Linked DNA regions of Coturnix japonica. The protein of the gene in region 1 binds, or shares a complex with, the protein of each later gene. Links are inferred from orthologs where the notes say so. Each region holds a gene or a part of one and is shown in the gene's direction. Other genes may lie near its edges. The genes, in order: RNF113A, CRIPT, BCAS2, RBM48, SNRPF, RBM22 and SNRPG.

Region 1 (3,500 bases):
GAATTCCTCATTCCACAAAGCTATGGAACTCTCTGCTGTGGAGTTACCTTAGCTCCAATAACAACTGCCAGTGCTGTGCAAATCTGCTGCTTTCAGATTACCACTGACTGCTACCAGGGGGGATAATTTGCTCTGTCTGTCTATACAAAATATAGCAGTCTGTTGTTGTATGAATCCCAGCAGCAAGCAGCGTGGAGATGGGGAGATAGATAGAGCCATCTCCTGCAGCACAGATGGAATGCTTTCATGCTTTGTCACATCCCTGTTTCTCACTCAGAATCCATATCTGTGGCCCAGGGATGCAGCCAAGTGTAGCTTATGAACTGCTGGGCAGCTGCAGGGGATGTTCTCTGAGTTGAAGAGTTCAATAGCAGCTGTTTTGGAAAAAAATGTGAAAAATAAGGAACTGGAGGATGAGTCTGTTTATAGCAGCAAGTGGGTGTCGCACAAAATGTGCTCCTGTGAGATGAGCAACGAGCACACTGGCTCATTAGACCTAATTATATCTCAATCCCACACACGTTACTGACATCAGTGACACCCAGATGCTGTTGTTTCCAGCAGAGTCCATCCCACCTGCTGTACTTTCTCCATGTTCCATATTTCATGCCCTGTGCATCTGCTGGCCTGGCTGCCTCTGCTCTTGTTCCAGTCTGGTTAATTTTCCCTCGTGCAGATGAAGAGAACTATGAGGTGAGCAGCGATGAGGAGGATATGCCTTTCAAATGCTTCATCTGCAGAAGTTCCTTCAAGAACCCCGTGGTCACCAAGTAAGGAGCCAAAACATCTGTAGTGGGCTGAGTCCTTCAGTCAGTCAGTCATTCTCTTTGGTAGCAAACACTGGCATTGTCCACATGCTGGTGGAAGGAGCACGCTTGTTTGCTTTTCTGGTGGGTGGGGAAAGCCTCTGCTATGCAGGGAGTTTCATAACTACATCTCAAGCATCAACTTGGTGGGGTCTCAAGCCTTTGTTGTCCAAGAACCTTTTATATTTCTATAGATGCTGCCTGATCACATCACCTTGCACCTGTGCTGTCTCTGGGAGAGCTGATGCTGCATAGGGCTCTGTACATCCAGCTTATTTTTGCATCCCTCAGGGCTCAGTAGTTGATGATCTCTAACTCCTGGATGCAGCAGTTGTATCTGGTGACTGGCAGTACCGTCTGTTTCTCCATACAGGTGCAGGCATTACTTCTGTGAGAGCTGTGCCCTCCAACACTATCGCAAATCCCAGCGCTGTTACGTGTGTGATAAGCAGACCAATGGAGTCTTCAACCCAGCCAAAGGTAACGGCCACCTGTGGGATAGAGCTGCTGTATGATCACAGCATTCGGCTGCAAGGTGGAGCTCACAGGCAGAACTTCTCTCAGTGCTTGGAAACACCACATCAGGGCCTGGGTGCCACCACAGGGGTAAAAAAAGAGTGTTTGTGTTTGCCCAGAGGGGGAGACTGATTTCTGGTGAGGGTGCTGGGAGTGCAGACAGTAGCTCTTCTGGTCAGTAATCCACTGACAGAGCCTGGAACTTTAGCATCTGAAGCCCCACTGAAGGGCTCAGTGTTTGGTGGTAGTTCCTGGCTTAGCTTTTGTGCAGATGAGTGATTTTTGGTAGGTGCTTTGGTTCCAGGACAGAGCTGTGTTGGCAGGTCCTGGGCATCCAGCTTTGCTACTGGCCATTCCATGTTGCACCTGGAATCTCATCCTGCATCTTCCTGCTTTTCAGAGCTCATGGCAAAATTGGAAAAACACAAAGGGGAGGAGGAAGAGGAGGAGTCAGACCACTCAGAACATGGTGAAGACCCACACTAGCAAAGCACTCTGTTTTGTATGGAGCCCAATAAAGTTTTCATGGGAAGAATGCACAGATCACAGCACTTGCCTTTGGGCCAGCAGCTGCAGCCATTGGTGGTTCATCCAACCAGGCCTTGTTAAAATGGGGGCACGAGTGGTGCCAGTTGTCAGAGAAGACACAGGACAGAATGGGTAAGCTGAGTTGTCTTCTGTGCCATTAGTAGGACCACGAGGGCCTGGGGAGGGAGGGTCTGAATTTTGTTCAGTCAAATCAAATGCTAAAAGCAGAGAGAAGAATGAAAACTATTGGCTTGTACCAAGTTTATCTGTCACTTTGGAAATGCTGTTTGGGAGGTAAGCCAGACTGCTGCAGTTAGTTGTGATTTATTGCAGCTCAGAGGAGCGTATTCCCTCCCATCTTTTCTGCTGCCTTTTGATCTCTAGAAGTCAAGAGCTTAAAGTAACATCAAACAGGATTCAGGACTTCAGAGAGTGATACCACTGTGGAATCATCCCTTGGGGAGGAAGCCAGCAGCTGTACCATGTCCCTAATGCAAGGTTTTATGCCATCAGTGGTACTTCTCTCAATGATTTTTCCCTTGCTGCAACCAGCTCTGTCCAGGCCTGTGGGATGGGGATAAGAATTTGGGCAAGAAGGAAACTTCACAATGGGTTGAACTGCAAGATGCAACCTCCTAAGTATGGAGCTGAGAAGAGCATAAGCTTCCATCACCCTGCAGAAACAGCAGACTTACAAACTTCAGAAATATTTTATTTTGGAAAAAAAAAAAAAAAAAACCCAAAAACTAGAGTAACAAATTTCATCTGGCTTCAAGTCGTTTACAAACAGAAGGACCTGCTGTCAGCACCGCTCCTCCCATCAAGCACGCTTACAGGGCTGGAATCCCAGTGCTTCATTTGAGAGTGGAAAGAGCTCCAGCACCTGTGGTCCTTGGAAAGGTCAAACTAAAAAGCCTTAAACACGCCTCCAAAACCAAATGCTGTGAGCTGTCACAGCCAGGGATCAAGGGAAGCTGTGTGAAAAGCAAGCAAAGGATTTTTATATCTCATTCATTTGGGGATGATGGTACAGCAATGGCAACAGAGGGCTTAGATCAGTGAGCGTAACATTCAAAGAGGTGTTTTGTGAGTAAGAGGATTTGGTGTGAAAATTACTTTCCCTCCATGCCAAGTCACTGAGCACGGGCTGGTATGGATATTCCATGCTGTAAAAGCAGCCCAGCTAACAGGAGGCTGAGCTGGATGTGCTGTGGGAGGTTAGAAAAGCTGGTATGTTGCACAGAATTACACATTAGGATTTGATGACCCAGGCAGCCATGGGAGGAGATGGGGATGGCATCTGACCTGGAGCTCAGAGCACACAGCCTCAACTGAGAGGAGTCTTAAAAGCTCTCTCCAGAGCTGGAGCAGAGCTCAGAAGTGCAGAGGAAAGCCCAGTGCAGTGAATGTGCCCGCGACAGCCTCAGGTTACCTTCTGGTTCTCATTTTCCACCATAAAGAAGTGACCAAGCTTAAGAATGCACTCCTTTCTGCACCCTCAGAAGTTACCCAGTAACAACACAAATCCGACTAGCTCTAAGAAAATGCCCAAAACTAAGAACTGCTTTCCTCCCCTTCTTAACTCTAAGGCACCCTTTAAAAAATACATATAAAAAAATAGGGTCGTGCAGCCTTCACCTGTGAGACGAG
Region 2 (4,011 bases), on another chromosome or scaffold:
TTGCACGACTAAGCTGACTTCAAATTGTATTCTACCACTCCTGACCCAGCTATGTTTTACTCCTCTAACCTGTTAAATTAGGATCCACACCCTCAATGGTCCTATTACAAACTGTAACTACAAAGAAATCTCCCAGATTTAATTTCTGCAGATTTAGTCATTCAATGAAATGCAATTGTTCTGACACTTTTCAACTTCACTTTTTATAGTTTACCAACTTTCAGTGAGTCACAATGGCTTCAGTTGGTGGGGGCCTCAAAGCCCACCCATTTCCAACCCCCTGCCATGAGCAGGGCTGGCCACCACCAGCTCAGGCTGCCCAGACCCCCATCCAACCTGGCCTTAACACCTCTGGGGATGGGGCACCACAGCTTCTCTGGGCAGCTGTGCCACTGCCTCATCAAGTTTTAGTAGTAATGAGCTGTTCCCAATTTTACATCTCAGTTCCTACACAAAGAACAAAGCAATACTCTGCAATAACGAAGGTCAGGCCTAGACTGCAAAGTGAATTTCGTGCCCACTCTGGTGTGCCCCAATTCCTACCAGCATGCAGTCAGTGATAGACTTGTGACTACAAATCACAACCCCATGGGCAAGAAGTGTCAGGGATGCTCAGCCCAGAGGGCTGCTGGCAGGTGCAGACAGAGTTAAGCTCTGCAACTCATGGAAAACAAGAATTCACCACCAGAAGTTGTAACTTCTTTCTCATCACATCATTTCAGTGACAGGCTTAGCATCCTCTCCACATCACTCGATAGGAATCTAAGAAAGAAACAAATCTTACCTTGTTAGACAGCGAGCTTCTCTTAGAAGACGGACTTGGCTTTAGGATTAAACACAAGGTTACGTTAAGGACGCTAACACAGACAGAACAAACACACAGCCACGTGAGGTGAGTGCCCAAAACCGAGAACCCATCCAGGAACAAGGCCGGTACGAGTGCGGTCAGGACGATGGAGACGAAGCAGAGCAGGTTGGCAGCCAGCAGCCTCCTCAGCTCTGCCTCCTTCATGGCGCCGTGCCGCCGGCCACCTGCAACACAGCGAGCGGCACTCGGTCAGCGGGACTCAGCCGCACCAGCGGGGCAATGAGGGCGTTCTGGGGGAGAAAAGGGCTTTTTAGTGGTAGATTAACGACCCTCACGCTCGCACAACGTCCTAGGTCAGGCTCGCCCCGCGGGGCGGCCTAACAACGTGCGGGGCCCACCTGGCCCGTACCCGGGACGCCGGCCGCCCGGCAACGGGATGGCGTCAGCTCCGGGGCGGGTCCGGAAGCGGCGGTTGTTGTGCTGGGCGGCCATGGTGTGCGAGAAGTGTGAGTAGGGTGGGATTGGGGGGATCCCGGCACTAAGCGGGGTCTGAGGGCAGCGCAATTCTAATCGTTTATTTCGTGGTGTTTCTTTCCGTAGGTGAGAGGAAGCTGGGCACCGTGATCACTCCTGATACGTGGAAGGATGGGGCGAGAAACACCACAGGTAGTGTCGGTCGCTGGGTGTTCCCTGCGGGTCGTCCGGAGGGTTCGGGGGGCAGCCCCAAAGCCTGCTGGAGTTACCGGGTTGGCCCTTCACTGCTGTAGTTTCCATTGAGTGCAGTGAAGGGTTGTTTACCTCGAGCTTTTTGGCGTTGAATTTGTCCATCTCATTGCAGCCTTCCGTATTTAAAATGGGATCATTACCGGGGGGGGGGGGGGGGGGGAGAATCAACTTTTTACTTGAATAGGTAATGATAGAATGAGAGGTAATGGTTTTAAGCTCAAAGAGGGAAGGTTTAGATGGATGTTAGGGGAAGCTCTTCACACAGAGTGGTGAGGTGCTGGGGAGACTGCCCAGAGAGGCTGTGGAGGTGGTGAAGACCAGGTTGGATGGAGCCCCAGGAAACTTGGTTTAGTACCAGATCTGGAGGTTGGTGGCCCTGCCTGTGGCAGGGTGCTGGAACTTAACCATCCCTGGGGGGTCCCTTCCAACCCAACACTTTCTATGTTTACATTATGATCTTTCCCCTCATGTGGAAGGATGATATGCAGGGCCTGCCCATGCTATGTGCTTCATGCTTCACTTTGCTCTGATCACACATGCCCACATGTGGCAGTTGGAAGCTGGACTGTGAAATGCATTGCCTTGTGGTTGTATTTTTTTTATAGAAAGCGGTGGCCGTAAGCTGAATGAAAACAAGGCGTTGACCTCAAAGAAAGCAAGGTTAGTATTTAATCCTCATTTCAGCTTAAAAAATAATTCAATTTTCTGTAACTGAGACCTTGCATTCTCACAAAGCAGGGTAATTCCTCAAAACTTGTCCAAAATACAACTTAATTTATTCATTTCTTTTAACATGTTAATCCTTGGTGGCAGTGTGTATTTATGTATTTCATTGGGGCTTTCTGTGGAATTACAGAGCATGGGCAGCTGTATTGCTGTGGGCATCCCTAAAATTGGTAGGAATTGCTGTTTGTGTTAAGAGAGGGGCTGAAAAGGCTGTTTGTCTCTGTTTGTTGCAGGAGAGTTGGACTAGATGACATTTAAAGGTCCCTTCCAACTCACATGATTCTGTGATCTTCCATGCTAACATTACCTGTTCAAACGCTTGAGCATCTCCTTAATGTCTAAAGGATATTCTGTTATGCCAGGGGCAAGCCATTGTTGAAATGTATTTTGACTTTGAAATAGGCTTGTATCTTAAGAACAATGTGTGGTTTTAGTTCATCATTTATTAATTTAATTTCTATAACACAAGAAACCTCTCTTAATGGAGAAAATGGGAGGTTTTTTGTAGAAATTCTGTAGTCTATTAGAGTTGACCTCTTTATGTCCCTGTTTTTGATTGCAGTTTTTGCTGGAGTTTTTGTCTATTTCCTCTCGCATAGCATTTTTAGTATGAGATGAAGGAATTACTTTATTTCACTGTGCATAAACAAAGTACTTCTCCATTTTTCCAGGTTTGATCCTTATGGAAAGAACAAATTTGCAATATGTCGAATTTGTAAGAGTTCTGTCCATCAGCCAGGGTCTCACTATTGCCAAGGATGTGCCTATAAAAAAGGTGAGTTTCACTGAGAACTTTATTACCCCGCTTTGATTTGGAATTAGAGACCAAGTAGAAGTCTTTGATTTTGTTCTGTGAGGAAAAGAGAAGGCTGTGATGAGATTCAGTTACTGTCTTCAGCTAATAATAGGAAGGTATAGAAGGTGCACTGAGCCCCCATCACAGTGCACAGTGATGGAGAAGAGTGCAGAATTCTTTAATTCCATGTGAATAAAATAATTTTCACCATGAGGGTGGTCAAACATTGTAATAACAGGGACTCAGAACCCTTATGAAATCTCTACTGGAGAATATAAAATTTTATCAGTCTTGTGAATTTCAGGGGGCAAGCAAAATGGCTCAAACTTGTAATCCATGGGGGGAAAATAGTGCAACATGAACTCGGTTACCTTCTTACTATTGAAGAATTCACTCAGCACGCAGACATGGGCTGGATGAATTGTTAGATGTAGAGTCACAGCTAACTGGTAGTGATTTTTGTTTATGGAATAATGTTAATTGTTCTACAACTTCACACTGTGTCACTGAGTACATGGTTTGGAAGTCTGCTAACGGAGGGCTGCCTCTGGGTCATTAGTCTTCTCTGTTTCAACTCTCAGCTATTCTTGGTGTCCATTATATTTCTCTCTCGCACACTGTAATTAACTTAATTCTGTGAAACTGTATTCTTCTCAGCTTTCTCAGTTGCCGGTTAATCTTTCATTTAGCAATCAGTTTCTTGGCGCCTGTATTTCCTTAACCTTGCTACTTTCTGTCCATCTCAGGCTACAGGAATTCTAAAGTTTAGTTATATGCTATTTTTACCCGTTTGCCAGTTGGGATCCTTTTCCTGGCTGGCCTCCAGTAGTTCAGCAAATTCGAGGCTTCAGGTGCTGCTGTGAATCATAATGCTCTTAAAATAGAGTTTATTTTTTAAGTGGAAGTGTTACATGTATATTGCAATTATTAATTTGTGTTAAAAATCATATTACTA
Region 3 (3,556 bases), on another chromosome or scaffold:
ATGACTCATATTAGAGGGATGTTTCTCCTCACAGGTGATGTCCCTCTTAACTCCCTGGTCTCTGAAGCTTTCGTGCACTTCTTTGTGGAGATCGTGGGTCACTATTCCCTGCACATGAATGTCACAGAGAAAGGAGAGCGGGTGTTCCAGCGGGAGCCATTCCGTAAATCCCACACGTCGCGCAACGTGCGCCATTTCCTGCACTTCTTCATGGAGACGCAGATGTTTGCAGGGTTCATACAGGATCGAGAGCTACGTAAGAGTGCTGTCAAAGGTGAGGCTTTCTTGTTTTACAAAATTCCACATCTCTCATATCTTTAACTCTTACAAAGCCTTTTTGCCCCAGCAGTATTTCCTATTGGCGTATGTTAATAGCTCCATGCCCTTCTAATTATTCAGTAATCTTATTAAGCAGAAGATGCCTTTGTCTCCTGCCTGGCTTCGGTCCTGTGGCCTTACACACACAATGTTAACGCCTGAGGATCTCATCCATCTCTTCTATCTCTTTAGGCCTTTTTGAGGTCCGTGCCTTGGAGTATTTGGAGAGCATCCCCGAGTCTGAGCCCACAGGGATGAACAGAATCCTTCGCACTCTCGGTAAAGAGACACCTCATTTATTTAGCTTATTTCCCTGCAGTATTTCGCTTTGTGCACACATGCTGCTTTCCTTTGCCTCTCCAAGGAGGCTGTGGGAGCCCCATCCCTGCAGGCATTCAAGGCCAGGCTGGATGTGGCTCTGGGCAGCCTGGGCTGCTGGTAGGTGACCCTGCATATAGCAGGGAGTTAGAACTAGATGCATTGTGGCCCTTTTTAACCTTTTTAACCTTTTTAACCCAGGCTGTTCTGTGGTTTTATGTGTGAAACTGTCATTCAGCGTCCAAATGATGCGTCTCGAAGGCTTAACGTGCTTTTTTTCTTGTTGTTTTTCTTTTCTGTAGGAAGTAAGATGAGATTTCTCCAGAAGAAATGAACGTGGAGCCTCAATGAGGCGGTTGGACAACCAACCCCATCCCGGGGCCGGACTCATTGCTCCCTGTGCAGCTGAGGCGGCTCCGTGCCGCCATAACACGCCGCAGTGCCGCAACCAATCAGCGTGTCCTCTCCTCTGTGGGCGGGGCGGGATGAGGGCGGGGCCGCGCCGTGAGTCTAGGCCTGGGGTGTGCGCATGCGCGGTAGTGGTAACCATCATGGCGGGGCCCGGGCTGGTGGCGGGGGACGTGGTGGTGGATGCGCTGCCGTACTTCGATCAGGGATACGAGGCGCCGGGCGTGCGGGAGGCGGTGAGTGCGGGCCGGGTCGGGCCGAGCCGGGTTGGGCTGGGCTGAGCTGAGCTGAGGCGGTGCGATCCCGGCTAGGCTGCGGCTCTGGTGGAGGAGGAGACGCGGCGCTACCGGCCCACGAAGAACTACCTGAGCTACCTGCCGGCACACGACTGCAGCGCCTTCGAGGTGAGCCAACACGGCCAGCCGCCCCTCAGTGCCCCTCATTGCCCCTCATTGACCCTCATTGACCCTCAGTGCCCCTCAGTGCCCCTCAGTGCCCCTCATTGCCCCTCAGTGCCCCTCATTGCCCCTCAGTGCCCCTCACGGCCCCTCACGGCCCCTCACAACCCCTCATTGACACTCACGGCCCCTTATTGCCCTCTCCCTGCAGACCGAGATCATGCGGAACGAGTTTGAGCGCCTGGCGGCCCGGCAGCCCCTGGAGCTGCTCAGCATGAAGAGGTGAGTGAGGGGGGGCTCCTGGTCTGGCTCTGGGTGGGATCCGAACCGTGCTCCGTTCCAGGTATGAACTACCGGCTCCATCCTCCGGGCAGAAGAACGACATCACGGCGTGGCAGGAGTGTGTTAACAACTCCATGGCGCAGCTGGAGCACCAGGCAGTGCGCATTGAGAACCTGGAGCTGATGTCCCAGCACGGCTGCAACGCCTGGAAGGTGTACAATGAGTAAGGCTGGGGATGGAGAGACAGCATGGGAAATGGTGGTGTGGTGGCTGCAGATAATGCTGTCCTGATCCTCCTCACCTGAAGCCACTGTTGAAATGGCTAAGAAACACATGGAAGTGTGGCTTTGAGAAGCTCTGGGGCTGTTTCAGACAGCTGCTTGCCTTTAGTGGATGGCTGCATGCTGGGCTCTTCTAGGAGGGTTATATGTGAGGCTGGTTAAATTGATCTTATTTAGTAACTGTGTGTTTTTTCTCTTGCTTTGCTTCCATTCTGCTCTCAGACACCTGGTTCATATGATAGAACAAGCCCAGAAGGAGCTTCAGAGGTTGCGGTGAGTGGTTTTTCATAGCTCTATACAGAGGTTGGAAGGGATATAGAAACTCCTACTTTGGGGTAGGAGCTTCCAGGGCAGCCAATTTCAAACTGCATTCATGAGTAAATGAGATGAAGGAGGACAAGACCAACACAGGTCTCTTCATGTTGTTTTTTTCCCCTCAGGAAAAGCATTCAGGATCTGAACTGGCAACGAAAGAACATGCAGCTGACAGCAGGAGCGAAGCTACGAGAGATGGAATCCACGTGAGTAGCTGGGATTTATTCTAACACCCCCTTACGGGGAACAGTGCTGTCATAGCAAACCATCACACGGCTGCTATTGGTTTGCACAGGGTGCTTTAGAGGGTGCATGGTTCAGCTCCGTGTTGATGGTTTTTAGCCCTTTTTTCCTTACAACGTTTCATTTCCTGCATTATACATTGAGGTTTAATAGTTGGAAGCATCTTGTAACCTTGTTCAGGTTGCTCCTGCTGTCAGCTGAGCTGTGTTGGGGCTGATGTTGGTGTTGTGCTTTGTTATGGCAAACACCTTAATGCTCTATGAATCATTCCCTTGCAGCTGGGTGTCCCTTGTCAGTAAGAACTACGAGATTGAACGGACCATTGTACAGCTGGAGAACGAGATATCCCAGATCAAACAGCAGCACGGGGAGGCCAACAAGGAGAACATCCAGCAGGACTTCTGAACGCTGCTCCCTCCTGAACTCCGTGTTTGTACGTTTCCTACGGCGCTGTAATAAACTGCTTTGCCCAATAAAGGCTGCTTATCTCCCCTCCTGGCTGATAAGGGCTGTTCAGCGCCGGGCTTATCAGCAGCTTATCAGCAGCGCTGCGACTTGTGGCTGCGGCCTCCACCCGCGTGGGGGCGCTCGCGGCCGGTCGGTAATTGCGTTTGAGAGGTGTGGGCGGCGCTCTATCCGGCGGTGCGTCACGTGACGTCACGTCTCGTCTGTCCACGCCTGCGCGCGCCCCCGCCCCGCCCTCCCGCCGTGGAGCGCGCACGTCGCGTGGTGACGCAGTGCGTGAGCGGAGCGGGGAGTTGGGTTCAAAGGAGGAAACATGGCGGAAAACAAAGGAGGCGGCGGCGGCGGGGAGGGGGCGGCCGAGCCCGGGCCGGGCGGAGCCGGCTCCATTGAGCCCGCGGCCGCGTCCCCTTCGGCTGCGGCGCCGCCAGCGCCATCCGCGGCGCCTCCGGAGGAGCGGGAGAGCCCCGGAGCGGCACCGGCGGCGGAGCGTGGGCTCGGGGAGGCCGAGGCCGAGGCGGGGCCCGGGGT
Region 4 (4,013 bases), on another chromosome or scaffold:
TGAACAGCTGATGCGTTCTGTACGCTGGGAGGCTGGGACTGGCATACTCTAAAAATGGAATCCATGTGAATTAAGTTCAGCAGCTTGTCTTTGAAGGCGCTCATTTCATCCTTATCACACAGAGTCTTTTGTTTCTGTTCAGCTGTACGAGAGAAAATGCTCCCTATGAAATTCCACATATTTGGGAGAACACTTGAGCCAAACGTCACATTTGCATCAGCCTTACTCTGTTCAGGGACTCCTGGGTTTAAGTGAGGTTGACTGGCAAAAGGCTCCTTTACAGTTACGTCTTGCTCCATGCTATTCTTCACAAAGCTCTTGAGTAAGATGTCACCTTCTGTAGAAGGCATGTCTACGACGTTTTCCTCAAGCTCACGCGCTTTGGGGCAGATCAGAAGCTCCGTGCAAGGTTCTAATCTCCCATAGGGGGCTGCTGGCATAAGTGTACCTGAGTATGGATAAATCAGATGAATGAATGCATCCACTCTTGCAAAACAGCTTACTCAAGGCACCAGCAAAGCATTCACTGCTGCTTACCAATTCTGATGTAAACGTGAGTGTGGTGTTCAACCCAAACAGGAAAGATGGCTTTGGGGAATACGATTCGGATCTGGTCCAGAAGATGCTTTTCAAGAGAGGAAGCGTGCAGTTCCTGGGAAAGTGTGGTATCATTGTAAGCTACACACTTGTACAACCTTTAAAATGTGTTTGAACATAGAAGATTCACATCTTTTTCTAATACACCATTTGAAACATAAAATACAATGAAAACCCACAAGACTTAGCATTTGCTTAGGAGCAGAAAAGAACGGGGGATTGCGACAAAAGCTTGTATCAACATTCTCTGTCATTTGCATGAAAATGATGTGAACAGTGGGACAGGTTTTCTTACCAGTATTTCCCAATCATCTGCTGAGAGCGGTTCCACTTCTACTTGCTGACAGGAGGAGACGTGTGAACAGGGCTCCACGAACACCTGATAGAAGCAACATTATTTCTGAATAATTTAACTCCTTAAACACATAAAACCTCTACTCAGAAACTCAAAAAAGGGACCTGCATTTCAAACCTGTTCTCCATCTGCAATGCCAAGCTTCTCTGCTAAATGCCTGTTCATCTCTGCGATATTTTCACCCCGCTGACCTCGATGCCTCATTTCCATCCAGCTCAGGTAGATGGGCTCATCACGGCAGGATACTTTGACAGCTTGGCCCTGTGATTATCAGGCAGATGAAACGAATTACTATCAAATCATACTCAGAAATACTCAGACCCATCTGGGTCCAGGGGCGAGGGGTCCCGGCCCGTTCGGAGGATGCACAGTCACCACAGCGACAGTGCGGGGGGCGGCTGGTTGCCCTGCGCTGTCGCTGTGGTGACTGTGCGTCCTCTCGAGGAGGGCTCTGAGCACCGCCATGATGACGGGATACGATGGGGGGAGGAAGGAGAACCTCTCTCCCACAATCCCCTCCGAACGGGCCGCCCCCATCTCGTCCCCGTACCTGCTGCAGGCGGAGGTGCGAGGCCAGCACGGCGGGCAGGTGAAGGAAGCAGTCCCGGGTCCCGCTCAGCACCACCGTCACCGCGGCGACTCCAGCGGCCCCTCCGCCGGGGTTACCGCTGCCCCACATGCCGCCAGCCGGGTGGGCCGGGCTGTAGTTGCTCGTTCCGCCCGGCTTCTCGGCAGCGCCCACTTCCTTCCCGGAAGAGCCGACCGGAGCCGCGGTGGCGGCCGGGAAGATGGCGGCGGGCGGTGCTGGCGGGCCGGGGGAGGCGTGTAGGCACCACCAGCAGCTGGGAGCATGCGGGTCCAGGGCCAAGTACCGCGAGGGGCGGCGACCCAGGGCCGTCAAGGTGCGGGGTGAGGGCGGGTGGGCTGCTGGAGACTTGTTTAGTCCGCAGGTGTCGGTGCTCTGACATCTGGAGAAGCATCAGCTCCAGCTGATGTTCTGTGATGTGTTCATCCCTGCTTGAGTTCATCCCTGCCCGCGGTGGCTCCACACAGCGGGCAGCACGAACGCTTTGAGTTGTTGTTTTCGCAGTGAGGTAAACGTGGGCATTTTAGAGCATTGAACAGCATCTCCCCTATGAGGAGAGACTTAGGGAAGTGGGTCTGTTTAGCCTTGAGAAAAGAAGGCTGAGAGGGGACTTGATCCAGGTTTATAAATACCTGAGGTGGGGAAGCCATAGTGGTGAGGCTGGTCTCTTTTCAGTAGTGCGTGGGGACAGGACTAGGGGTAATGGGATGAAACTACAGCATAGGAAGTTCTGCATTAATGTGTGGAAGAACTTCTTTACAGTGAGGGTGACGGAGCACTGGAACAGGCTGCCCAGGGAGGTGGTGGAGTCTCCTTCTCTGGAGATATTGAAGACCCGCCTGGACGCCTACCTGTGTGACATGGTGTAGGGAGCCTGCTTTGGCAGGGGGTTGGACTGATGATCTCTAGAGGTCCCTTCCAACCCCTACAATTCTGTGATTGTCCTGTGCTTCTTTCAGGTGTACACCATCAACTTGGAATCGCGTTATTTACTAATCCAGGGAGTTCCTGCGCTGGGCGTCATGAAGGAGTTAGTGGAGCAGTTTGCCTTGTACGGAGCCATAGAAGAGTACCATGCACTTGATGAATATCCCGCAGAGCAGTTCACTGAAGTTTATCTGATAAAATTCCAGAATCTGCAATGTGCCAGGTATTATACACAGCACTATCTGCCTTTTGTTGTTTTAATCCTTCACGGCCCCTTTATGTATGATCTACATCATACAGAGTTGAAGTAAAACCCTCAGCTCTGCTAATGCCATTTAGTTTCCTTCAGGGTGGCCAAGAAGAAGATGGATGAGCGCAGTTTCTTTGGGAGTTTGCTGCACGTGTGCTACGCTCCAGAATTTGAAACAGTCCAAGAAACCAGGGAGAAGCTGCAGGACAGAAGGAAGTATATTGCAAAAGCAACAAATCAAAGAGGTTTGTAGTTAAATCTCATGTCCAGTTTTAATTCCAGTGGTTGGTACGTCTTGGTAAAGCCAAAAGCATCCATTGATGAAAATATACTGTGTTTAGCTGTTTTACATTAGGACATTTCTCAGTTATTCCTAGAGATGGACCTTTCAGAAAGCAACGTTTTAGTTAACATGCACTTTAAAGCTTTTAAACCTCATTGTTTCCTTCATTTCTTTTCAAAACGTTACCTGAAATTTTAAGTACTGCCAGGAAACTGAGGATCAGTTTGTTCCCCTTGTTACAGTTCTTTCAGGCATACCCAAAAAGAGAGATTAGTAAGAGAGCCCCCTCCCTGCCCCTTATTTCCTGCCTGTCATTTGGGTCAGTAAGGAACACGAGGAATGGATTGGGCTGACAGGCAGCTTTGCTGCTGAGTTCCCAGGCAGCGCTGAAGGCTGGACAAGCTGTAAAATAAGTACAATGCCAGGCACAGGCTTCTCCTTTCCTATGCTTATGTACTTGGATATCATTATCCACTGCAGGTGCTGCTTAAGCAGAATCACAGGAAGGTGACTGGGAATGAAGTATTGCTGGTATTATTTCTGTCACTGTATTGAACACTTTATGTATTAGAACTAACAGTGGCATAAAATAATGAAGCTGTTTTCCTTTTCTTTTCTTGTTGTTTTAAAGACTGCTTTCTGTTGAAGAAAACAGAGAGGCCTCGGAGGACCAAGTCTGATTCTCAGTGGAGTACCCCAGGATCACATGCAGCCACTCACTGGGATCCATCCTGCTTTCCAGTTCCTCATGGGTTGTCCCAAAACATGGAATATCCTTCTGGCAATCACAGTCAGGACCTTTTGGCTTTTCCCCACTGCGACAACCCCAGTGCTGAAACCTCTGGGAACTCCAGTCAAAGCTCATCCCTAACTCAGAAGGCGCATCCAGGAGGATGTGCTGCACCAGTGCCTTTAATTCAGCAAAGAACAGTTCCAGCTGATAACGGCATTGACAGGTTTATGCCTCGTACAACTCACCTGCAGGAACGTAAGAGGAAGAGAGAAGAGGGTAACA
Region 5 (3,026 bases), on another chromosome or scaffold:
TGTGAGAAACTTTCTTCTAATATCTGACCCAAACCTCCCCATCTCAATTTAAAACCATTCCCCCTTGTCCTACAACCATCCACCCTCATAAACAGTTGTTTCCCTTCCTATTTCTACCCTCCCTTCAAATACTGGAAGGCGACAATGAGTTCTCCCCGGAGCCTTTTCTTCTCCAAGCTAAACAAGCCCAATTCCCCCAACCTTTCTTCATAGGAGAGGTGCTCCACCCCTATGATCATCTTAGTGACCCTCTTATGGACCCATTCCAAGAGTTCCACAGCTTTCTTGTGATGACGGCTCCAGGTCTGGGCACAGTACTGCAGATGGGGCATCACAAGAGCTGAGCAGAGGGGGACGATCACCTCCCTCTCCCTGATGGCCACCCCTTTTTAATGCAGCCCAGCACACCATTGGCCTTCCAGGCTGCAAGCACACACTGCTGGTTCACATCCAGCTTCTCATCCACCAGGACCCCCAAGTCCTTCTCCAAGTCATGCATCAGAGGAACTGACTATATGAAGAAAAGAATGTAGCTGGTCCTGTACTTCTTGGTACACAGCTTTCCCAACACAAGTAGGAGACATGATAAAAGTTGGTTCCAAACCTAAAAAGTGCTGTTTACAGACAAAACACTCATATTGTTCTATTGTCATTCACATATACACCATTAACAACTGTCAGAAAAGTGCAAGTCTTCCATGGCCTTTAACCCAAAGGACTCATGCTGAGCTCATTGCATTCTGACGCCTTGTATGTTTTCACTCCAAGTTCTCTATTCTTTGCTGCAAGGGGCATGAAAACCGTCCATATACACGATTTCCCACATTGTTTATTATTTCCTACATATCCTCAGCACTAACTTCCTTGCAATAAACTTATAAGCAATTCTCTTTCAACTGGCGCCCAGTGAGTTTTACTGTCAGAAAGAAAAAAAAAAGCTTTATTTTAACGTTATCTCTGTTCCCCAGCCAACACATGAGGACAAACACATCCATTATAAATTATCACAGAAACAAATACGAGTGCACTTCAGATAAACATTTATTAAGAAGAATCGTAATTGCTGCTCTTATCCTATCCATCCATAAAGGTAGGGATGTGAGGGGGGACATTCTGGATCTGCAGAAGACACGGTGTGAGGCAGCCGGGGGCTGAGGGAGAGGTGGACAGGGAAGGGGAGGAGAGGGATGGAGGGGCAAAGGCCTAACAGAGCAGAGCGGCGGCACAGTGCTGCGCTGCCACCCCCCGGCCACCACAGACGACACAACCAGAGGTGGTATACGACCATTGGCTGGAGCAATGAGGAGGGCGGCCATTCCAACTAATAAGATTGAGCCCACAACCCCTTTTCCCTTCGCGCTCCGTGGCTCCGTAGCCAATCGCGAAGGCGGCGCGGCGGGGTGAGAGGTTGGAGGTCGGCGCGGCGGCACGGAAGTGGAAGTGGAAGGTATCTCAGCGCTGCCTTCCATTCTGCCTCAGCCCGCGGCGCGCACGAGGCGATCCCGCCTGGCTCTGCGCTTCTCGGGCCGCCATCGCGCCCCATCGCCATGGTGAGGGCAGGGCAGGGCAGGGTGGGGGGAGGCTGTCGTTAGCGGTTGGGATGGCGGGCGGTGCTGACCATTGCTCTCCCCTAGAGCCTGCCGCTCAACCCGAAGCCCTTCCTCAACGGGCTGACGGGGAAACCGGTGATGGTGAAGCTGAAGTGGGGGATGGAGTACAAGGGATACCTCGTCTCCGTCGACGGCTACATGAACATGCAGGTGAGGGATGGAGGGAGGGACCCGGGCCTTGCTTGCTTGTGGGAGGGAAGCAGTAGTGAGGCTCCTGTTGGTGTAATGTTTGTGCTGATTTTCGTTCCAAGCTTGCAAACACAGAAGAGTACATCGATGGAGCACTGTCTGGACACCTGGGAGAAGTTTTGATAAGGTAATCGTGGTGCCTGAGCTGGGGAACGGGGTCTTGTGGGGACTTCTGTGTCTTGTGTTACTGCTTTGTTGAAGCTGGTGGATCTAGGGGATGTGCTTGTGTTTTAAGTTGAAAGAGGGAAGATTTAGGTTGGATGTTAGGGGAAAGTTCTTTACTAGAAGAGTGGTTAGGTCCTGGAACAGGCTGCCCAGTGAGGTTGTGGATGCCCCGTCCTTGGAGGTGTTCAAGACCAGGTTGGACGGGGCCCTGGGCAACCTGATCTAGTAAATGTGTATGTTTGGTGGCCCTGCCAGACAGGGGGGTTGGAACTACATGATCCTTGAGGTCCCTTCCAACCTGGGTAATTCTGTGATTCTGTGTGATTCTGTGTATTGGAGCACTAAATGCTGCTGTAACTCCCATGTGAAGTGAACATTGTATTTGCGAGGGAAATTAAGACATTTCAACTAAGGGAGCTCTTGATTCTATTTACAGGTGCAATAATGTTTTGTACATCAGAGGTGTGGAAGAAGAGGAAGAAGATGGAGAAATGAGAGAATGATGATTTGTATATCTGGAAATAAAGGGTTTTTTTTCTTTTTTTTTTTTTCTTTTCCACAACGTTGTCATCAGGTGTTTATTTTGTTCTTGTATTTGACTATGGGGGGAGTTCACCCAGAGGCTATAAAGAGTCATGAATTTCAGTGGCATTCATAGAGCTAAAACAGCCTGTGGAATGGGAATGCCTGATCTCAATCTGCAGTATTATGGAAAGAACACACAAAACACTAACAACAGGCCACTCTTTGTTATCAGGCATCCAGATAACTGAAGTTTTGGCAGGAACATAATTGCTTTCTCAAATGTTAAGAGCAACCATTGACATTAACCGAAGCTGTTCTGTACCTATCAGCATTTCCTAAAGGTAACCATTGCTTTGCTGATGCTGCTAGTCAGAGCCTCCCCTTGTGAAGGATCTACTTGCATCTCTAGGCTGGAGAGAGGTTCTACAAGCCAAAACACAAATGGCTGTACCTCATGGATTTGTGTGTGACTTTGCGCTGTCTCATCAGTGACCATTTGTCTTACATCTATTCTCAAATACACAGGTATACTTTCAG
Region 6 (4,105 bases), on another chromosome or scaffold:
GTGATATACTGCAGTGTTCACGGATCTGAGTGGCCGCCAACCGCACTGTAGGCTCGTTGTGTTGCAAGGTGGATGTGGTAGTGTGAATTGTTAGAAGCTGGGAAGTCCCATTGTGCTACGTTTCTTTACTGAGGTGAGAGTGGTCCTGAGAGGCTGCCTGTCAGTCTTTGTGTTAATAAATGTGTGTTAATAGGGATATAGCAATCAGTACTAAGCTCAGAGCATTGAGATTAGTTCTAGCATACTAAAAAACTACAGGGGCTGTCCAAGTTCATACTGTCTTTTCCAGCTGTGGGGTTGGGGGTATAAAGGAAGAAAGGCTGTTATACTGTAACTAGCATACACTGTACTGCTGTTTATATATATATATATATATATATGGGGTGTAATTCGGCCATAGTCCAAACTGCAACTTTAATTAAGAGTGTATGCAGGATACTGAATGCCAGTTCACTGCAAGTGGGTGAGACTGCTTGTCCTTGGGAGGCTTTAGTTTCATTCCCAGTTCAATGTTTACTTTCATTACCCGTTTCTGATGGGCTTTGATGTGCTGGCTTAGGGTGAAGTTAGTGAGTCAGCCAAGGCCGGCTTTGAGCTTCAAATCCTTATGTGGGATGGGAGGGATAAGGCCACATTGCAAACCGAGCAGCCTTAGTGCCCCTCAAAGGGAAGCACCCACCTCACAGCCCTGCTCCTGCAGCACCTCCCAGAGCAGCAAGTCAGCACGTTTACAACGCCTGGGTTGCACACAGGTGCACAGCATGAGCTGAAGAAGTGTACTTTGTATTTATTTATGTATAACGCTAGTGTCTGCTGCTGTTTTACCTTCCGGATAACAAAACACTTAAGCCTTGGCCATGAGTTCTCTCCTTAGCCAAACTAGTAACACTACTACCTATGGAAGCAGCTATTGGGACGCTGATGGAGCCCTGTGGCTGCAGCTCCCGGTTGGGCCGGGTTTGTCCCCTTTAGGTGCTTGTAGGCGATAGGAATTGCCGTCAGCTCTGTCTGTCCGTCTGTCCGTCCTTTCTCCCGGGGCTCAGGAGTTCTCGGTGTTAATGACAGGCGGCTGTTTGCCTTATTGCTTATAACTTCATGTAGTAACCTTCAATAAAGCGACCTTGGCTCTCAGGCTCTGCGCTGTTATTTACACCGCCGTTAGTGGGGAAATAGTGATAATTAGAACATAAAGAGCTGAGCACCCCCCAATGCTTTTGTCCCTATTGCCATTCATTCCGCCACTCCGGCTCAACTCTATGGTTAGCAGAGCCTAGAGCGCCCCCGCCGCTCTTCCTGCACGGAAGTGCCATCCCGCAGCGGAAGTGACATCACTTCCGGGTCCCGCCGCCTGCCGGGATCGAGGCGGAGGGGCCGCCATGTCGACATCGCTGGGCTCCAACACTTACAACAGGCAGAACTGGGAGGATGCGGTGAGTGGGACGGGATCCGGCCGGCAGTGCAGTGCCGTGATCTGTATGGGGGCTGTGCTCTGGATGGGGGCTGGGAGCTGCATGGGGGCTGGGCCGGCGCCATGGGGCACTCAGGGCTGGGGGTGGCCTGTGTGTGTGTGTGTGAGGTGTGTGAGGTGGGTGTTAGAACGGGCCTGGCTGCTGTGCTGCCATCATTATAATAAGGATAAGGGAACAAGGGAACAAGGACGTGGGCTGCAGCTGCTCACACGGCCTCTATGAGCAGATTCTGTTGGCTCCTTGCTCAGTCAGGCTGGGTTTGCTCGGCAGGGTGGATGCCCCGTCCTTGGAGGTGTTCAAGGCCAGATTGGACGGGGCCCTGGGCAACCTGATCTATAAAGGTGTATGTTTGTTGGCCCTGCCAGGCAGGGGGGTTGGAACTACATGATCCTTGAGGTCCCTTCCAACCCGGGTCATTCTGTGATTCAGGGTGAGCACTGAGGGCTGATTCCATTGTTATCGTGATGGTTTGGTCGCTCTGTGCACATTTTCCTTCTTTTTCCTCCTCTCAGGACTTCCCCATTCTGTGCCAGACGTGTCTCGGAGAAAACCCATACATTCGCATGGTATGTGCTATGTGCTGCTTGGACAGTGCGGCCCTGTACTCTGTGTTGGGTGCTGATTAACACTGAACTCTTTGCTTCTGAGTGCTCAAGCAAGGGGGGATGCTGAGGACATGTGCATTCCTGGCCATTTGGCCGTGCACTGCAGGGTTCACTTCATGCCTTTGTTAGTGCATCATGTCATGGTGGTCGGTGCAGGTTTATAACAATAACTCAGTCAAAAAGCTGAGCAGGATGTCACGCTGTAATGTCTGCAGTGCAGGAAATACCAGTAAAGCTTTGATACCAGTAAGTCGTGTGACGTGGGAAGCAACGAGCTGCTGGGATATTAAATAGATGAGCACCATTTCTAACGTGCATAACATGAAAATGAACCTGAACTGTCATACAAAGGCTGCTGGCAGCAATTTCAGTGCTGTTTTGTTGACTTTGGTTTCATCTGCCCCAGATGAGTCAGGCCATTCCATGTTCCTTTTCTCAGTGCTCAGCCCAATTATGCCATACCTGCAGATTATCTTTGCCTCACATTTCCTTTCCCCAAGTTTGCTGAGAGCTGTTATGTTTTTATGAAGCATGACACGATTGTCAGCATAGATATGTAAAAAATGGCTTGTTTTGGTGCATTTGTTTTATGCAGTTGCATCATCTTCGCTTAAAAATAGCTACTAATGACCTGTTTCATGATCATTTCTCTATGGTACGTGAAGTTGGGCTCATAATACTTTGTTTTAATGGGTGCTTCTAAAACAGAAAACAGGTTGAGAGTTTCTTAGATCTTTGTGGTCCTCTTTGCCAGGCAAGGGGAGATTCTGCTTAAGCACCAAAAGTAGAGGTGAGCCAGTCTACATGTACTATAATAAGAACAGGATCACTGTGCTGTAAGTTCAATGGTACGTTTCATCATTCACAATGTTTTAATATCTCATGTTTTCTCTCCCTTCTTATTTATTATATTTCAGACCAAAGAGAAATATGGAAAAGAATGCAAGGTACGTTGGTTGTCTTTTGAAGAACGAGCTTCTGTATTGGTGAACATCTGGCTGTAATGTGGGTTTTGGTTCTCAAAAGATCTGCTGGCGTCACGAAAGAGTTTATCTTGGCTGAGAGCTTAATGCACACATAACTGCATGGAATGTGAGGTGTATCATCTCCATGTTCATTGTTCTTGAGCTGTAAAAGGTTGTTCTAACGGAGTTAAGATTTGCTCACGTTTATGAGAATTATTAGGTTTTGCTCGAGTATCTTATATTTCCTGTTGCAAGTTTGTTTTTACTGCTATGTGATGTGTAAGTAACAACAGTTTTGGTTTTGCTCTGAATCTGCTGTTTTTTGCCAGCTATCAATTAGTGTTAGTTATTGTATGAAATAAGACAGGTTTGTAACTGAGAGAGCAGGAATTATTTAGCTTTTACTTGACTTGATTTGTCCCTCTGCCCCCTTTATCAGTTGTCACCTGAGGCACAGACAAGGTATGTGCTGAGATCTTGCTTCTGCTCCTCAAATGTGCAGCAGAAGCAGATGCATCTTTCCAACACATAACAAATGGGGCAGTACTTTTTTATCAATAAGCTCTCATTGGGCTTGCTGCTGTTTCAGTGACTGCTCAATTTACACGTAATTGGTAATTTGTCTCTAATAGCTCCACGCTGGAGCTATTATATTCCATCTGGAATAAAAAATGAATCCTTTGAGTAGATCTGCTTTCAGCATTCAGGTTACTTTAATAACTCCAGACCTTCCCAAAGCTTCCTCCTGTCACAGTATGGCAGCAAATAGCAATCAGTATTATCCGGAGCTCTTGAACTTTTTTGCCTAGAACTTTAAGATGATGCAGTTGGACTTAGATTTCAGGGAGGCTGGGCGTGTTTGAGTTGTACGCTTCTATGCAGGAACTCGAGCGGCATCTTGGCTGTGCTGTGATAGCAGTTCACTTGTCTACTTTGTGTCTTTCAGATTTGTGCCAGGCCTTTCACAGTGTTTCGCTGGTGTCCTGGTGTTCGTATGCGTTTCAAGAAAACAGAAGTGTGCCAAACCTGCAGCAAGTTGAAGAATGTCTGTCAAACCTGTCTGCTT
Region 7 (2,927 bases), on another chromosome or scaffold:
TCACCATGGGGGAGCCCCAGAGGTCCCTTCCAACCCCTGTGGTTCTATCACTCTCCTGATCTATGCCCCTTTATCCCCTTGCAGGACCGCCTGAGCCGCTGCACGCTGCACTGCTCTGACAGAGCCAAGGATGCCCTGGAGGCGGGCGGTGGGGAGACAAGGGCACGCTCCCAGCTCGACGCCTGCGTTGCTGCCTGTGGGGACGAGCACCTACGCCTGGTGCCAGGCATGGCCAAGAGGATGCGGGATGGCTTGGCGGCCCTACAGCACTAGCGGGTGCTGTTGGGGTGGGGGAAGGTGGTATTAAAGGCAAGGAGCTGCACTCGTGGTGCTCGAGGGGTGCTGGGGGTTTGGGGTGTGGGGGTGCAAGGTGTGGGGTGGTGGCTGTGTAATGTATGGGGTGGGTGTGTGCAAAGTATGGGGTGATGGCTGTGCAGTGTATAGGGGGTGGGATGAGCCATGCAAATGTGCAGTGTATAGATAGGGTACAGGTGTGCAAAGTGTGGGGTGATGGCTGCGTAAGGTGTGTGCAGGTGTGCAAGGTGTGGGGTAGTGCTTCTGCAGGGTGTGGGGCACTGTGTGCAAAGGGTGCTGGTGTGTAAAGGGTGCAGTGTGCAAAGGGTGCAGTGTGCAAAGGGTGCAGTGTGCAAATGTTGCAGGGTGTGCAAAGGGTGCAGGTGTGCAAAGGGTGCAGGTGTGCAAAGGTGCAGTGTGCAAAGGGTGCAGGTGTGCAAAGGGTGCAGGTGTGCAAATGGTGCAGGGTGTGCAAAGGGTGCAGGGTGTGCAAAGGGTGCAGGGTGTGCAAAGGTGCAGTGTGCAAAGGTGCAGTGTGCAAAGGGTGCAGTGTGCAAATGGTGCAGGGTGTGCAAATGGTGCAGGGTGTGCAAAGGGTGCAGGGTGTGCAAAGGGTGCAGTGTGCAAAGGGTGCACACTGCCAGCTGTGAGCCGATGGCTGTGCAAGGTGTGCACGGTGAGCCGTGCAGGGCTTGCAATACGTGTATCAGTGCCTTTGTGTGTGTGCAATGCCGTGCATACAGTGGGTGTGCAATGCGCGGTGCATGCAATGCAGCAGAGCTGCAGGTCTCCATGCACGTGCTGCATGGGGGCCGCTCCAAACGCGCACGCGCGCCGCGTCCGAGCGCTCTGATTGGCTGCCGGCGAGATGCGAAGGTTGGCGGGAAAAGGGGGCGGGGCTTTGGGCGTAGCGTGCGACGTGATGACGTCATTACGCGGCGCGAGCGGCAGCGGCGCTGAGGAGACGCCATGAGCAAAGCGCACCCACCCGAGCTGAAGAAGTGAGAGCTGGGCCAACATGGGGATGAGGGGGGATGAGGGGGGATAAGGGAGGACTGAAGGGGATGAGGGGGGCCCAGAGGGTCGGGAGGGGCCGTGGGGTCCGGTTCGGGTTCGGTCTGGGTCCGGTTGGGCCCGCAATGATGGCGGTCCCGACCCCACACTGATGCGGCCTGCTCTGTTTGCGCTCTCGTTGCAGGTTCATGGACAAGAAGCTGTCGTGTGAGTCCCGCTGTTATAACGGGGTTGTGCCATGAGCCCACATTCACAAAGCCCCCCCCCCCCCCCCATCCCTCCCTTCCCTTTTAACCCCCCCCTCCCCTTGTTTCTGAATGAGCCGGTTTCTCGTAGTGAAGTTAAATGGCGGCCGCCACGTGCAGGGGATCCTACGGGGCTTCGACCCCTTCATGAACCTGGTGATCGATGAGTGCGTGGAGATGGCGCCTGGAGGGCAGCAGAACAACATCGGGATGGTGGTGAGTGCTGGGGGGGATGGCAGCCCCCAGGCCCACTTTGTGCCTTGGGCTGGGGGCTTTGGGCTTTGGGCTTTGGGCTGGGGGCTTCCTTTCAGTTCAGGCCTCCCAGTGCCCATCCGTGGCCTTGGGCACCTCTAGGAATGGGGAACAGCCTCAGGAGGGCAGAGCAGGATGGGACAGAGCCCTCCGTGTCTGCTGCAGTAACAGAGGGGTGGCAGCCCAGCTGGCTGTGAGGTCACAAGAATACATTGCTGTCTTATATCAAGCTCTCATCCACCTTTTCTATCAACCACCCTCCTGCAGGAGCCTTTTCCAGCCGGCTGACTGCTGCCATGAGCCCCTGCAGTTCTCTCATTCACTTCAGCTCTTGGAGCTGCACATGCCATGCAGCTTTCTAGGAGGAAAAGTCAAAGGGAAAGAAAACCTTCTGTGCTGTGGGCATAACGTGCTTCATCTCACCTCCTGCTGACAACTTCTCTTTGTAGGTAATACGAGGAAACAGCATCATTATGCTGGAAGCTTTGGAACGAGTATAGTGGCAGAGGAACCCTGTAGTGACCCGACCCCGTTGTGTTTTGTTTACTCACCTGAACCTAATGAAGCAACCACAAGTGTAAGCTTATTTTTTGTTAAATAAATTTTGTACTGGTTGGTGTAACCCGTGTGAGCTGTGCTTGGTGGAACTGAAGCCTGGGGCAGTTAATCTTGTGAGTGCAGCAGTGTGTCAGTGGCAGCTTTAAAGCTGGAGGATGGCTTTCAGGCAGCTTTATTTCTTTGAGTGGGTGTTCAAATGATACTGGCTATATCTTTAAACCCCCCCCCATAAATAACAGGCTGTGGCACTTCTATTCCTAGCATTGCTCTGTAAAGAGTGAAGGGGACTGAAATATCTGTCCTGCTCAAGTGTTTGCCTGCAACTTTGTGCTGGTCTCCACCTCTGTGCTGAGGCAAAAGTGGTTTTGGTTATTCTCATTGCCCCCAAGCAGACAGAACAAAGCATTGACCCCAGGGTACCAGCAAGCTTCTAAGAGTTGAATCGTGTTCCAGCACGTACGGACTCCTGTGATGCTGCTAATCTCAGTGCAAGTCCTGCAATTTAGCTTTAATCAAGTGCATTCATCTTTTCTAGCACAGCAAGAGTGAGGCTACACTAGTGGA

The links.
Region 2: RNF113A (region 1) and CRIPT share a complex: the UniProt entries of both Homo sapiens proteins name them as parts of the minor spliceosome. The link is inferred for Coturnix japonica from reciprocal best matches to the Homo sapiens genes RNF113A and CRIPT.
Region 3: RNF113A (region 1) and BCAS2 share a complex: the UniProt entries of both Homo sapiens proteins name them as parts of the pre-catalytic and catalytic spliceosome complex. The link is inferred for Coturnix japonica from reciprocal best matches to the Homo sapiens genes RNF113A and BCAS2.
Region 4: RNF113A (region 1) and RBM48 share a complex: the UniProt entries of both Homo sapiens proteins name them as parts of the minor spliceosome. The link is inferred for Coturnix japonica from reciprocal best matches to the Homo sapiens genes RNF113A and RBM48.
Region 5: RNF113A (region 1) and SNRPF share a complex: the UniProt entries of both Homo sapiens proteins name them as parts of the minor spliceosome. The link is inferred for Coturnix japonica from reciprocal best matches to the Homo sapiens genes RNF113A and SNRPF.
Region 6: RNF113A (region 1) and RBM22 share a complex: the UniProt entries of both Homo sapiens proteins name them as parts of the pre-catalytic and catalytic spliceosome complex. The link is inferred for Coturnix japonica from reciprocal best matches to the Homo sapiens genes RNF113A and RBM22.
Region 7: RNF113A (region 1) and SNRPG share a complex: the UniProt entries of both Homo sapiens proteins name them as parts of the minor spliceosome. The link is inferred for Coturnix japonica from reciprocal best matches to the Homo sapiens genes RNF113A and SNRPG.

Annotation. Positions count from the first base shown.
Region 1 is NC_029542.1:2,233,439-2,236,938, forward strand, and holds part of RNF113A (E3 ubiquitin-protein ligase RNF113A), read left to right. Parts: intron 1-676; coding exon 677-770; intron 771-1,179; coding exon 1,180-1,286; intron 1,287-1,722; coding exon 1,723-1,808; 3' UTR 1,809-1,982; intron 1,983-3,489; exon of another isoform or gene 3,490-3,500. UniProt on the Homo sapiens protein: Required for pre-mRNA splicing as component of the spliceosome. As a component of the minor spliceosome, involved in the splicing of U12-type introns in pre-mRNAs. E3 ubiquitin-protein ligase that catalyzes the transfer of ubiquitin onto target proteins.
Region 2 is NC_029518.1:23,890,184-23,894,194, forward strand, and holds the start of CRIPT (cysteine-rich PDZ-binding protein), read left to right. Parts: upstream 1-1,211; 5' UTR 1,212-1,244; coding exon 1,245-1,314; intron 1,315-1,408; coding exon 1,409-1,474; intron 1,475-2,139; coding exon 2,140-2,194; intron 2,195-2,931; coding exon 2,932-3,035; intron 3,036-4,011. Other genes in the region: PIGF (phosphatidylinositol-glycan biosynthesis class F protein), read right to left, coding at 785-1,012. UniProt on the Homo sapiens protein: As a component of the minor spliceosome, involved in the splicing of U12-type introns in pre-mRNAs. Involved in the cytoskeletal anchoring of DLG4 in excitatory synapses.
Region 3 is NC_029541.1:3,877,562-3,881,117, reverse strand, and holds BCAS2 (pre-mRNA-splicing factor SPF27), read left to right. Parts: upstream 1-1,143; 5' UTR 1,144-1,187; coding exon 1,188-1,280; intron 1,281-1,355; coding exon 1,356-1,448; intron 1,449-1,653; coding exon 1,654-1,724; intron 1,725-1,785; coding exon 1,786-1,947; intron 1,948-2,227; coding exon 2,228-2,278; intron 2,279-2,445; coding exon 2,446-2,526; intron 2,527-2,841; coding exon 2,842-2,968; 3' UTR 2,969-3,056; downstream 3,057-3,556. Other genes in the region: DENND2C (DENN domain-containing protein 2C), read left to right, coding at 35-274, 511-597, 939-970; E3 ubiquitin-protein ligase TRIM33, read left to right, coding at 3,342-3,556. UniProt on the Homo sapiens protein: Required for pre-mRNA splicing as component of the activated spliceosome. Component of the PRP19-CDC5L complex that forms an integral part of the spliceosome and is required for activating pre-mRNA splicing.
Region 4 is NC_029517.1:20,669,018-20,673,030, forward strand, and holds the start of RBM48 (RNA-binding protein 48), read left to right. Parts: upstream 1-1,213; 5' UTR 1,214-1,415; coding exon 1,416-1,541; coding exon of another isoform or gene 1,542-1,631; exon of another isoform or gene 1,632-1,653; intron 1,654-1,711; exon of another isoform or gene 1,712-1,740; coding exon of another isoform or gene 1,741-1,854; intron 1,855-2,497; coding exon 2,498-2,688; intron 2,689-2,814; coding exon 2,815-2,960; intron 2,961-3,629; coding exon 3,630-4,013. Other genes in the region: PEX1 (peroxisome biogenesis factor 1), read right to left, coding at 1-448, 538-652, 893-976, 1,070-1,213, 1,503-1,631. UniProt on the Homo sapiens protein: As a component of the minor spliceosome, involved in the splicing of U12-type introns in pre-mRNAs.
Region 5 is NC_029516.1:41,570,004-41,573,029, forward strand, and holds SNRPF (small nuclear ribonucleoprotein F), read left to right. Parts: upstream 1-1,393; 5' UTR 1,394-1,547; coding exon 1,548-1,550; intron 1,551-1,634; coding exon 1,635-1,760; intron 1,761-1,861; coding exon 1,862-1,926; intron 1,927-2,400; coding exon 2,401-2,467; 3' UTR 2,468-2,526; downstream 2,527-3,026. UniProt on the Homo sapiens protein: Plays a role in pre-mRNA splicing as a core component of the spliceosomal U1, U2, U4 and U5 small nuclear ribonucleoproteins (snRNPs), the building blocks of the spliceosome.
Region 6 is NC_029528.1:4,991,932-4,996,036, reverse strand, and holds the start of RBM22 (pre-mRNA-splicing factor RBM22), read left to right. Parts: upstream 1-1,305; 5' UTR 1,306-1,376; coding exon 1,377-1,430; intron 1,431-1,981; coding exon 1,982-2,035; intron 2,036-2,991; coding exon 2,992-3,021; intron 3,022-3,985; coding exon 3,986-4,105. UniProt on the Homo sapiens protein: Required for pre-mRNA splicing as component of the activated spliceosome. Involved in the first step of pre-mRNA splicing.
Region 7 is NC_029537.1:791,647-794,573, forward strand, and holds SNRPG (small nuclear ribonucleoprotein G), read left to right. Parts: upstream 1-1,176; 5' UTR 1,177-1,263; coding exon 1,264-1,295; intron 1,296-1,492; coding exon 1,493-1,515; intron 1,516-1,644; coding exon 1,645-1,769; intron 1,770-2,254; coding exon 2,255-2,305; 3' UTR 2,306-2,427; downstream 2,428-2,927. Other genes in the region: protein FAM136A, read left to right, coding at 85-273. UniProt on the Homo sapiens protein: Plays a role in pre-mRNA splicing as a core component of the spliceosomal U1, U2, U4 and U5 small nuclear ribonucleoproteins (snRNPs), the building blocks of the spliceosome.